3 linked regions of the Callithrix jacchus genome follow. The protein of the gene in region 1 interacts with the protein of each later gene in a pairwise test. Links are inferred from orthologs where the notes say so. Each region holds a gene or a part of one and is shown on either strand. Other genes may lie near its edges. The genes, in order: CERT1, ACTL8 and RTN3.

Region 1 (4,429 bases):
AGTGAATGGACAGAAAAAGATATTCCATGCAAGGAGAAACCAGAAAAGAGCAGGAGTAGCTATCATATCAGATAAAATACTACTGTAAGTCAAAGACTCCAAAGAGTGACCAAGAATATCACAATATTAGAATAAACAAGTCAATTCAGCAAAATAATATAACAATTAACAATATCTAAGCACCAATACCAGAATACCCAGGTATATAAAGCAAATATTGATGGACACAATGAGAGAGATAGAGTGCAACATAATAATAGTAGGGGAATTCAACACCCTACTCTCAGTAAAGGACAAATCATACAGACAGAAAATAAACAAAAAAACAGGGGGGTTAAACTAGACCAAATAGGCCTAATTGACATTTAAAGAACATTTCACCCAACTGCTGCAGAACAATCCTTTCATCAGCATATGTAACATTCTCCAGAACAGACCACATCTTGGCCACAAAACAAGTCTCAACAAAGTCAAAAAAGTAGAAATCATATCACATTATCTTTTGTAAACACAATGGAATAAAAGTAGAAATCATTAACAAGAGGAACCTGGGAAACAATACAAAAAATTAATTAATTGCTTGCTTTAATTTCAAGCAAGTTCAAATCAAATGACTTGTTCGTGGAAGGGCATTGTATCTCATGCCTATAATCCCAGCACTTTGAGAGGTCAGGTGGAAGGAATGTTTGAGGCCAAGAGTTTGAGACCAGCCTGGGCAACACAGCAATACCTGGGCTAGCTGGGCTTAGTGGTGTGTGCCTATAGTCCTTGCCACTCACTTTAACAACTCTTCTAACGTCATTTATTATCTGACAACCTCAAAATTACTTTCCACAAAGAAAACTCTAGAAATCAAAAAATGCGAAGTGCGTGCTTGCGAGAAGGGAGTGAGGAAATTCTGCCTTTAAATGCGGTAAATGTCAAACGTGAAGTCGAACTTATAATTAGCAAGACCCTTAAGATTTACAGCTAGGCGGAAAGAAAACCCTCAGCTCGTGGTTGAAGCGGAAGCGGCCAGATGCTCCCGAGCTTTCGAAAAGCCGCCCAAGAAAGCAGGCCCGTCATCCTCAGCGGAAAGTTCTCTTGCGTCCGGGCCCGCAAGCCCGTAGAGTTTGTCATAAACACACAAGGTAAGGAGAGAAACGAGGCCGAGGGGCAAGTCACGCAACTGTCAAACGAAGCCCACCCACCGACTGACAAGTCCCCAAGACAACAAGCGATGCCCGCGCGGGATACTCACCCGTTACCTCAAGATCGCAACTACAACTCCCAGGAGGCTGCGCGATCGACAGACCAGCGCCCTTCCCAGAATTCAACAGAGTGGCGCCCCTCTCCCGCCCTCTCCTTGCGCCGCTCCTCCTACTTTAATACTTGACGTCACCCAGGAGAGCCGGAGGTAGGGTGCTGGAGGAGGATTCCGAACGCTCGGCGTGTTGCGTCAGACGCCGGGAGGGAAACGGGGCGGAGAGTAGGAGGGAGAATGGGAGGACGTAGAGGAGGGGAAAGGACAGGGGAGGGGAGGGTAAATAGTGGGCCAGGCAGGAAGATGGCGGCTGTAGCGGAGGTGTGAGTGGACCCGGGTCCGGCGGCCGGATTTTCTCTTCCCTTCTTCTCCCTTTTCCTTCCCTGTTTGGAATTGGCATCGAGGAGGCTAAGTTCAGGTGGCGGCGCCGGGCGCAACGCAGGGGTCACGGCGACGGCGGCTGACGGCTGGAAGGGTAGACTTCCTTTACCACTTGTCCTCCTTCCCCGCTCCGCTCGGTGTCAGGCGCGGCGGCGGCGCGGCGGGCGGACTCCGTTCCTCCTCCTGCTTCCCCCCATACCGGAACGGGCACTCTTCGCTTCGCCATCCCCGACCCTTCACCCCGAGGACTGGGCGCCTCCTCCGGCGCAGCTGAGGGAGCGGGGGCCGGTCTCCTGCTCGGCTGTCGCGCCTCCATGTCGGATAATCAGAGTTGGAACTCGTCGGGCTCGGAGGAGGATCCAGAGACGGAGTCTGGGCCGCCGGTGGAGCGCTGCGGGGTCCTTAGTAAGGTGAGCAACCCGCTGTGCCAAGGGACCTCTGGCCAGACTCACCTGCCGCAAGGCAATCCGCTGAGGCCGTGGGGTGGGGCTGGCGGGAGGCGCGGAACGTGCTGGGGTGCGGGGCTGAGTACTGCCGCAGCGACTGGGGATGAGGTGGGGATATAGGGGTACTGTCGGGGGCAGCCGAGGACCAGGGAAAGCGTGTGTCAACCTGGGATCCGGTTTGGGAGGCGAGATGACTTGAGACGCAGGGCAGCAGCTGTCTCGGGTCTAAGGAATCCGGGTTGGGCTTCAGCGGTGTCCGAACGACTGGGAGTGGTTCAAGTCGGACCTCTTAAAAGAGGTTGGTCTGTCTGAGGATGTTGGCACTGAGGTTGGGGGGCACTTCGGACGCAACTGTTTCGATAGAAGCCGGAGCGACTCGGCTTGGTGTTGAAATTTGAGGTGCTAAACTATGCCAGGTTAGATGTAGTGAGACAGATGAATGTGGAGGACTTTCTCCACCCTATACCCCAGTTTAGAAGAGAGATATTGAATCAGCACCTGATAGGCACAAGAAATATTAATAGTAACTTGGAACATGTGAGAATGGAGACTGATCTTTAGTTCAGGAAGAAGAGCATTATTTAATAATAAAATATTTTTGCGGTAAGGGGTCCGGGGTAAGGAAAAGATATTTCACCTTTTATATATTTTTTTAAATCCCTGTATCAAAATTTTAGCAAAGCAGTCATTTCTAGGACTTTAGATGGGTGATCTCTTGATAATACATGGTTGTGGGTTTTTTTGTTTTTTTTTTTAAGTTTTTGCTATAAGAAGATTCACATCGCCTTTTTGACTTCTCCCTCCCTTCCTGTTAAACTTTTTTAGAAATGGCTGGAGCTAGCAGTTAACTTGGAAAGGGAGAGCTGGGCCAGTCCCACAACAAGCTGGTCATAAGATACTATGTCATGTGCAGACTGGCTATTAAGAAATCACCCTGTTTCCAGTATTCATACTTTGGCAAATCACTTGGACATTATTTGTGGAATTGTTTCATATTAGGCTTTTATAATGTCTTTAGAAAGGGGACCAGGAAAAGCACGAGTAGTCAGAACTAAGGATTGAAAGTGTTGACTTTTATTTGTATAGCAGAAAAATTATGTTATGTATTCGTGATGTGATCATTCTTGAAATTTCAGTGCAAGGTTTTCAGTAAAGTGAAGCTCCTCAGGATTTCTTTAGATTAAATGTATCCTATAATTTAGGAATCTGTTGAACACATTGTATAATAGGTATACATTTTCAGTTGGTAATAGTTGTGAAATGGGTTACTTGCTTCTCAGTGATTTTGATAGTTTCATCACTGCTCATAAGATGGGAAGCCGATTGCCATACTAGTACTGTGGTGTGTTAAGTATTTTGCAAAACAAATTGTACTTTTAACCTACTGATAATTACTTTTTTAGGGGTAGGGGGAGTGGAGTGACTGAGGGAAAAGTCACCAGTGTTCTAAGTATTTACTGTATGTGGAGTAGGTATACTATAGGTCAAAAAATGGAAGACCAATCTCGATATTTAAATGTGTAAAAATGTATTTGACACCTTTATGGAAGGGGAGTAACTTATTTTGACTGTTGGTGCTTATGTAGAATCCATAGGAATAAAGCTTTTGATATTATTCTTGCTAATAGCTTTGAAGGAAATTTTTCCTGAGATTTACCAATTTATGGTTACATATAGTGTTTTCTGGAAGCTTTTTAATCAAAGGTATTCTAAATTGAATATATATACTTATACTGAGTATGGTACATGTTTTTAAATGTAAACTATATATTTTGAATTCTTTGTATTCACCTGGTAATTTAAACAAGGGTCAGAACTCGGCTTTTGTTCTTTTCCTTTTATTGAGTAATGTAAATAAGTCCCAGTGCAGTTTGTTTTGTTTCTCCCTCAAAATGGGGTGGATTTTGAATGGGCTGAGGTAAATTTATATTAAAAATATACAGTTCAAAGCATATTTTCCATCTGGTAGTCTGAAATACATGGAAATACCTATGAGGCATATTTCTTATAAATCACTTAAGAGTATAGATTCCAAAAATACTGGATATACAATAATTCTATGTGGTTATAACAAATATCATGATGGATCATGGTGGGGAAAAAATTCTTGCCTTAGTTGGACTTAAAAGCAGCTAAGTCTGGATAAAATAAGTCTCATTCAATTTCTGAATTTCCTCCATCCCTCATGGTTTTCCTTCTTCTGTTTTTCCACACACCTTTCTTGAAGTTCTATCCATCTTTAAGAGTCTAAGTCAAATACTGTCTTTTCCATAAAGCCTTTTATTATTTCACCGTCATTCAAGACCTCCTTCACTGGAATTCCCATAGCATTTTGTTTGTAGCTTGCTTCTGACTCTTA
Region 2 (2,851 bases), on another chromosome or scaffold:
TTAATGCTTTCCAAACATCAAGACAAAACAGGAATTCTGATATTTACAGTTTGGCAGTGTGCTTTCCTACTACGGCATCTGAGTTAAGTCGTGCAGCAGAGATGGTTTGAGACCATATATCAAGTTAAAGGCTAAAATATTTACTGGTGTGGGTTTGCTAGATAAAATACATGATGCCTAGACTTGAGTTTGAGGGAAATGACAAATAATGTCTTCGTATTTAAGTATGTCTCAAATAGTGCATGGGGCATACTTACGCTACAACATTATTTATTGTTGATCTGACATTCACATTTAACTGGGCATCCTGTAGTTTCATTTGCTGGATTTGGCAACCCTTACTGTCTATCCCCTTACAGAAAATGCTTGCGAGGCATTGAAGAGGAAGTTCCTGGGGAGTTTTAAATGGAGAGTTGTAAATGGGGCAGTCATGTCTGATTTTCTATTTGAAAAAGAGAACCTTGGCTGCTATTTGGGAAATGACTGGGCGGGAGGAAAATTTTCTGAAAGTGGTAATAGAGGGAGCCCCCTCCCACTGAGGGAAGAGGATGGGCTTGTGGGGGCTTGAAGAGGTGAGTAAGTGGTTGGGGCCACAGAAGTGTTGACTGTTATGATCTTTCTCCTTCTGTGGGATTAGAACCTTAGACAGGCAGCCAGAACTGAGGAATGGTTGGCAGAGGGGCTTCATAAAGATTCAGGGGGTAAGGGGCAGGGGGAGAAAACCAGCCCAGGGGCTCTACCAAACCCTAAATATCAGAATTCCAGGTTTATCTTGACATTTGTAAGGTTTTTATTTTAAAAAAAGGATAAAATCAGGCGCTTCCTACCAGGCAGTGGGCATCCTGTCTCTTTTCTTCCTTTTCTGCCTTTTTTCTTCCTTCTACCTGTTGTCTTTCTTTCTTGTCTCTCTTGTCTGTCCCCCTCCACCTTTTGGAGGCAGTGGTGGATATCCAGCACTTGTTTCTTTTCTAGTCTGTCTTCCTTCTTCTTAAGTGGCAGTTCAGGCTGCATGTGTGACCCGTGGCCATGCCGTTCATGTAGCCGGCATCCCAGAACTGTTTCTTGCAGCCACAGAGCTCTTCTCACCTCTCCACCCAGGTGGTCTGAACGGCCACGAGCAGACAAGCTCCTGAGGGCTAACCCAGCTCCCCTTCTAATCCTCCAGAGCTGCTGCTTTATCCTCACTGCATGAGCTCCAGTAGCTCTGGGCACAGCATCCTGGGGCAGCCTGAGGGTCCCCTGAGGTCGTGGGTCTGTGCTAACTTCAGCTTTGACGGCTGAGCAGGCTGGGGAATAGCACTGAGTTTGCTCTCCCTCGTTGCAGATCCTGTTTGAGTTGCTGCACGTCCCATCTGTCCTCCTGGCCGACCAGGTACAGATGTCCCTGTATGCCTCTGGCCTCCTGACCGGTGTGGTGGTCGATTCTGGCTACGGACTGACCCGCGTGCAGCCTTTCCACCAGGGCCGCCCCTTGCCCTACAGTGGCAAGACGCTGGAGTTCGCCGGCCAGGATCTCTCTGCCTACCTCCTGAAAAGCCTCTTTAAGGAAGATTGTGATAGACGCAGCGTGTTTCAGCTGGAGACGGTCGCTGTGACTCAGATGAACAAGTGCTACGTGCCGCAGAATCTGGGGGAGGCCCTGGACTTTCGCGAGAGCCAGCAGAGTGGCTTGAATGAGAGCAACACCTATCAGCTCCCAGACGGCTCCCGTGTGGAGCTGACCCCCATGCAGCAGATGGCTCCTGAGATGTTCTTCAGCCCACAGATGTTTGAGCAGCCAGGGCCCAGCATCCCACAGGCCATCCTGGAATCCCTAGAGTCCTGTGAGATCTCCCTGCGCCCCCTGCTGGCCTCCCACGTGATGGCCTGTGGGGGCAACACCCTTTATCCCGGGTTCACAAAACGCCTGTTCAGGGAGCTGATGATGTGGGATTATTTTTCCTCCATCAGAGCCACGGTCTGGGCAGGTTCCAATAGAAACTTCAGTGTCTGGCTAGGAGCATCTGTGGTGGCTCACCTTTCTACCTACCAGTCTGAGTGGATGTCCCGAGAGGAGTATGGTGAGCGTATGAGGGTATGACCCTACTGGCTCACTCCTGAGAATGGGCCCCTGTTAGATGGGCATGGGGGGATTAATTCCAGCAAAATGTTCTGGGCAGGGGTAAAGTGAGATGGGGTGGGGTTACCTGGCTTCGGAATTATGGGGTCATGAGGGTATTTTTTAGGTTTTAAGGTTTTATCTTGTTGCAAGAGTGGGATCCACCCAAGGGGGAAGATAAGATGTCATCCTCAGAAACCCTACAGGGGACAGTTTTTCCAGAGTGGCCTGCCACTGGAGTATGAGTGGCTGGCTGCCATCTCCATGTCTGATAGCCACTGGTTTTTCATTGGCATCTCCCTTGGCTTGTCTCATTCTTCTTAGTTGAGTAGATTTTAAGTGGGATAACCCTTCTGCTAGGAGTCCCAATTATTTTTGACTAGGGGATGGGGGAGAGTTGACATTTCTGGTCCCACAGACCCTTTCTGGCCTGTGAGGCATTGCTGCAGGTGAGCCTGGGATGCCCTCGCCACCGTTCTTCCTGTCTGTCTTCCTCCACTTTTGGATCCACTGGTTGGATCTTGTTTTATATCTGCAAATAAACAGCTTGTCTGGAAATAGTGCTGGCTCCTGTGGTGGATGGGGGGGTGGACCCTTGGAGAGACTCAGTGAGTGTAAGTGTGAGAGAGCCACGTGGCAGACAGGCAGGCTCTGAGGTGTCGGGCCCATGAACAGTGGCTGCCACTGAGCAGGATGGGCAAGGGTCTGGACCTCCTGTTCTTCCATTGCCACATTCTATCCATCCATCCCCGG
Region 3 (3,653 bases), on another chromosome or scaffold:
AAACCTGTTTCCATTCGAAGTGCTATTGTAAAAACAGGTGAAAGAGAAATCAAAGAGACTCCCAGTTGTAAGAGAGAAGAAGAAACATCTAAAAACTTTGAGGAGTTGGTCAGTGCTTCTGAACTACATCAAGATTGGCCTGATACTCTTGAAAGGAGTCCAGCTGGTGAGGCAGCATGTTCAAAAGTACCCAATATGAATATCTCTGTAGATGTGAAGCAGTCAGATAAAGTGAGTGAAGTTGTGCCTGAAAAGCCTATTACTACTCAGAACCCCAAACTTCCTTCAGTGTCTCCAGATGTTTCTAATGAGACAGAATTCTCATTAAATATGACAACATCTGCCTATTTAGAGTCATTAGATGGGAAAAATGTTAAACATATAGATGATTCCTCCCCAGAGGACCTAGTAGCAGCCTTTACAGAAACCAGAGAGAAAGGAATAGTAGCTAGTGAAGGAAATGCCTTTAAGGCAGGATCAGAGAAGACCACAGACTTTAAAACAGCTCTTCCTGTAGAAAAAGTCTTACGTGAAAATGAGCCTGGTGGTTCTGAAATTAAAGACATTGGAAGCAAATACAGTGAACAAAGCAAAGAAACAAATGGAAGTGAACCTCTAGGTGTTTTCCCCACCCAAGGTACTCCAGTAGCATCCCTTGACTTAGAACAAGAACAGCTCACAATCAAGGCTCTTAAAGAATTAGGTGAAAGACAGGTTGAGAAGTCAGCTTCTGTACAGCATGACACAGAATTGCCTTCTGAAGAAGTGCTGAAACAAACTTTCACATTCGCTCCAGAATCTTGGCCACAGAGATCATGTGACATCCTAGAACATAATGTCAAGAATGGATCTGATCTTGGGATTTCCCAAAAGCCCACTGCTATCAGAGAAACCACTAGGGTAGATGCTGTTTCCAGCCTTAGCAAGACTGAATTAGTAAAAAAGCATGTCCTAGCAAGACTTCTGACAGACTTCTCAGGTAACTATTCACATCAGAATACTGCATGTGGTTAATTCTGTGATTGATTATTTATCAGCATGCCATTTATGTTAGAGGCCGATTTATACCTACAGATTATGGCTAGAATATAATATACTGTATGATGGGAAAGGCAGATTCTTCTTCTCTCTCTCTTTTTTTTTAATAATGATTGTTTGATTTGGTTTCCTTAATACCAGTATTTCCCAAAGCAGTAGACCACTTTGTAAAATTAATCTTCCCCTAAAATTTTTTTCTATGCTCCAGTTATATTTCAAGGTATGTCTTTTCTTATAGGTTGGCCCTAGGGTGATATTAGGTGAGAACCTAATATCATCAGGTTCTTACTTATTTACAAAGCTTATTTCTAAATCTTTATAACAGTCACACTTCTTAGCACTTGGGTTTATTGATATGGACATTGTGAAATCTTAGCAATCAAAGATAAAGGAATTCCTGCTGGGAAAGATAGTAAATGAAACTTTTAATTAATGTGATCATATACTACAGAGATTTTATGCTCTGAAAGTAGGTAACCAGTATTGTAGTACTATTTTATGAGTAATACTTAGGAAAACTCGTACTTTCTTCTACTTTGTATCTTACTTAATATTCTTCAGGCCAAAACTCATTGTTAGATGGTACCAGAAACCCCTTCTCTTGTCTTCTATTTCAAGTGATCACTTTTATAGCAAGTGGCTTTCAGTTAAATTACTGCAAATACTGTCTATTCTGAGGTCTTGGAAAGTACAAGGAAAAAAAAAAAAAAGATCTTTCAAGCCTTCTACAAGAGACCCCCAACCTTTAATGTAATACCAAGTTCTGCATCTACCATATGGTCAGTGTTAGGTGCTATGTAGAGATCTGTGGTTTTTAAACTTTTTTGATTATAGATCCTTTTTTCAAATGAAATCATATACAGAGTTGTAGTATTTACAAGAAAGTGAGATTTTTGTTAGGCTAAACGTATTTCGTGTTTGATTATACTATTTACTTCTCATAAAGGCATTTCCTTACTGGAGACCATAGGTAGACTTACCTTCTTAAGTTTTAATATTTAAAACAGAGAAATTGTACTTAACCTTATAATGGTATTGTGAGGATTAAATATGGAAATGTAGGTCAGGACGGTAACTCACGCCTATAATCCCAGCACTTTGGGAGGCTGAGGTGGGTGGATCACCTGAGGTCGGGAGTTCGAGACCAGCCTGACCAACATGGAGAAACCCGTCTCTACTAAAAATACAAAAGAAAAAAATTAGCCGGGCATGGTGGTACATGCCTGTAATCCCAGCTACTTGGAAAGCTGGAGAGGCAGGAGAATCACTTGAACCTGGGAGGTGGAGGTTGCAGTGAACCAAGATTGCACCGTTGCACTCCAGCTTGGGTGACAGAGCAAGACTCCATCTCAAAAAGAAAATACAGGTAATTCAGTGCTTAGCACATAGTAAATACTCAGTCAGATTTAGCACCACATACATGGCCTGGTACATAGTAATAAGTACTGGATAATTACTTATTGAATTAATGACATGAATTATTTCACTAATAATTATCAGTGAAGACATTGAGGCTTTTCAATAAACCAAAATTTTTGAATTACCAATTAAGGATAGCTGTTACACTCTAGTATTTGAAGCTCACTGAATTTAGATTAAAGAGTACTAGATTCTAATTCTTGCTGTACTGTGCCTAGAAGTACGACTTTGAACAACTAACTTAGATAGGCTTTTGGGGGCCTCAGTTTTCTTATCTGTAAAGTGAGGATCTTGAAGTAGATGATCTTCAGTTATTTCAGTAATGTGATTCTGTGGCTCTGGTACATTCTAGATTTCTTCCTGAGTTGTCATAATTCTTATAGGTAGTAACTTTTGAGTAATAAGTCATATTGGAATTATGCTATAAGAACTCCCGTGTCTAATTCTGGCAAGTTCCTGCTTTAGCGTGACCTTAGATGACTAGTCTAATTGGTTCAGCGTCTTCCTTTGTTAATGTGATGATCATTATTTTCCCCTGCTTTGTGTGTTGCAGTAAATAAAGTGTTGTGTAAATGCTAATTATTAGTAATTCTCAACTGAATCATTTAATCTAGCATGAGAGATGAAAAGGGCTATGGAAGTTCAGGATATTTGTCACTGATCAAATTCTATGATTAGTATGTATTTTTAGATGATAATTAAAGAAGACTGGTATAGTTAGACCAAGAAATTTAAAGGTCTTTCTTGTAGCTTTCAAAAGTGAAAACCTTTTTAAATTGTCTTATTTATGAGTACATCTTTTAAAATAACCATTTCATTGCAATGAACCGAGATGGCCCCACTGCACTCCAGCCTGGGCAACAGAGCAAGACTCTGTCTCAATAAATAAATAAATAAAAATAAAAACCATTTCAGTAAAATGCATCAGTGTCTAGTTTTATTTATTTATCTTTTTTTTTTTGAGATGGAGTCTCATTCTATTGCCCAGGCTGTACAAGTGGTACAATCTCAGCTCAGTGCAATCTCCGCCTCCTGGGTTCAAGAGATTCTTGATTCTCATGCTTTAGCCTCCCAAGGAGCTGGGATTACAGGTGTGTGCCACCATGCCCAGCCAATTTTTTGTATTTTTAGTAGAGACTGTGTTTCACCATGTTGGCCAGGGTGGTCTCAAATTCCTGGCCTCAAGTGATCCACCG

What was found.
Region 2: the proteins of CERT1 (region 1) and ACTL8 interact in binary tests that used the Homo sapiens proteins (3 or more experiments, as listed by UniProt). The two-hybrid records come from large-scale screens. The link is inferred for Callithrix jacchus from reciprocal best matches to the Homo sapiens genes CERT1 and ACTL8.
Region 3: the proteins of CERT1 (region 1) and RTN3 interact in binary tests that used the Homo sapiens proteins (3 or more experiments, as listed by UniProt). The link is inferred for Callithrix jacchus from reciprocal best matches to the Homo sapiens genes CERT1 and RTN3.

Annotation. Positions count from the first base shown.
Region 1 is NC_133503.1:135,566,790-135,571,218, forward strand, and holds the start of CERT1 (ceramide transfer protein), read left to right. Parts: upstream 1-1,536; 5' UTR 1,537-1,938; coding exon 1,939-2,034; intron 2,035-4,429. UniProt on the Homo sapiens protein: Shelters ceramides and diacylglycerol lipids inside its START domain and mediates the intracellular trafficking of ceramides and diacylglycerol lipids in a non-vesicular manner.
Region 2 is NC_133508.1:54,714,998-54,717,848, forward strand, and holds the end of ACTL8 (actin-like protein 8), read left to right. Parts: intron 1-1,324; coding exon 1,325-2,080; 3' UTR 2,081-2,209; downstream 2,210-2,851.
Region 3 is NC_133511.1:120,770,963-120,774,615, forward strand, and holds part of RTN3 (reticulon-3), read left to right. Parts: coding exon 1-979; intron 980-3,653. UniProt on the Homo sapiens protein: May be involved in membrane trafficking in the early secretory pathway. Inhibits BACE1 activity and amyloid precursor protein processing. May induce caspase-8 cascade and apoptosis.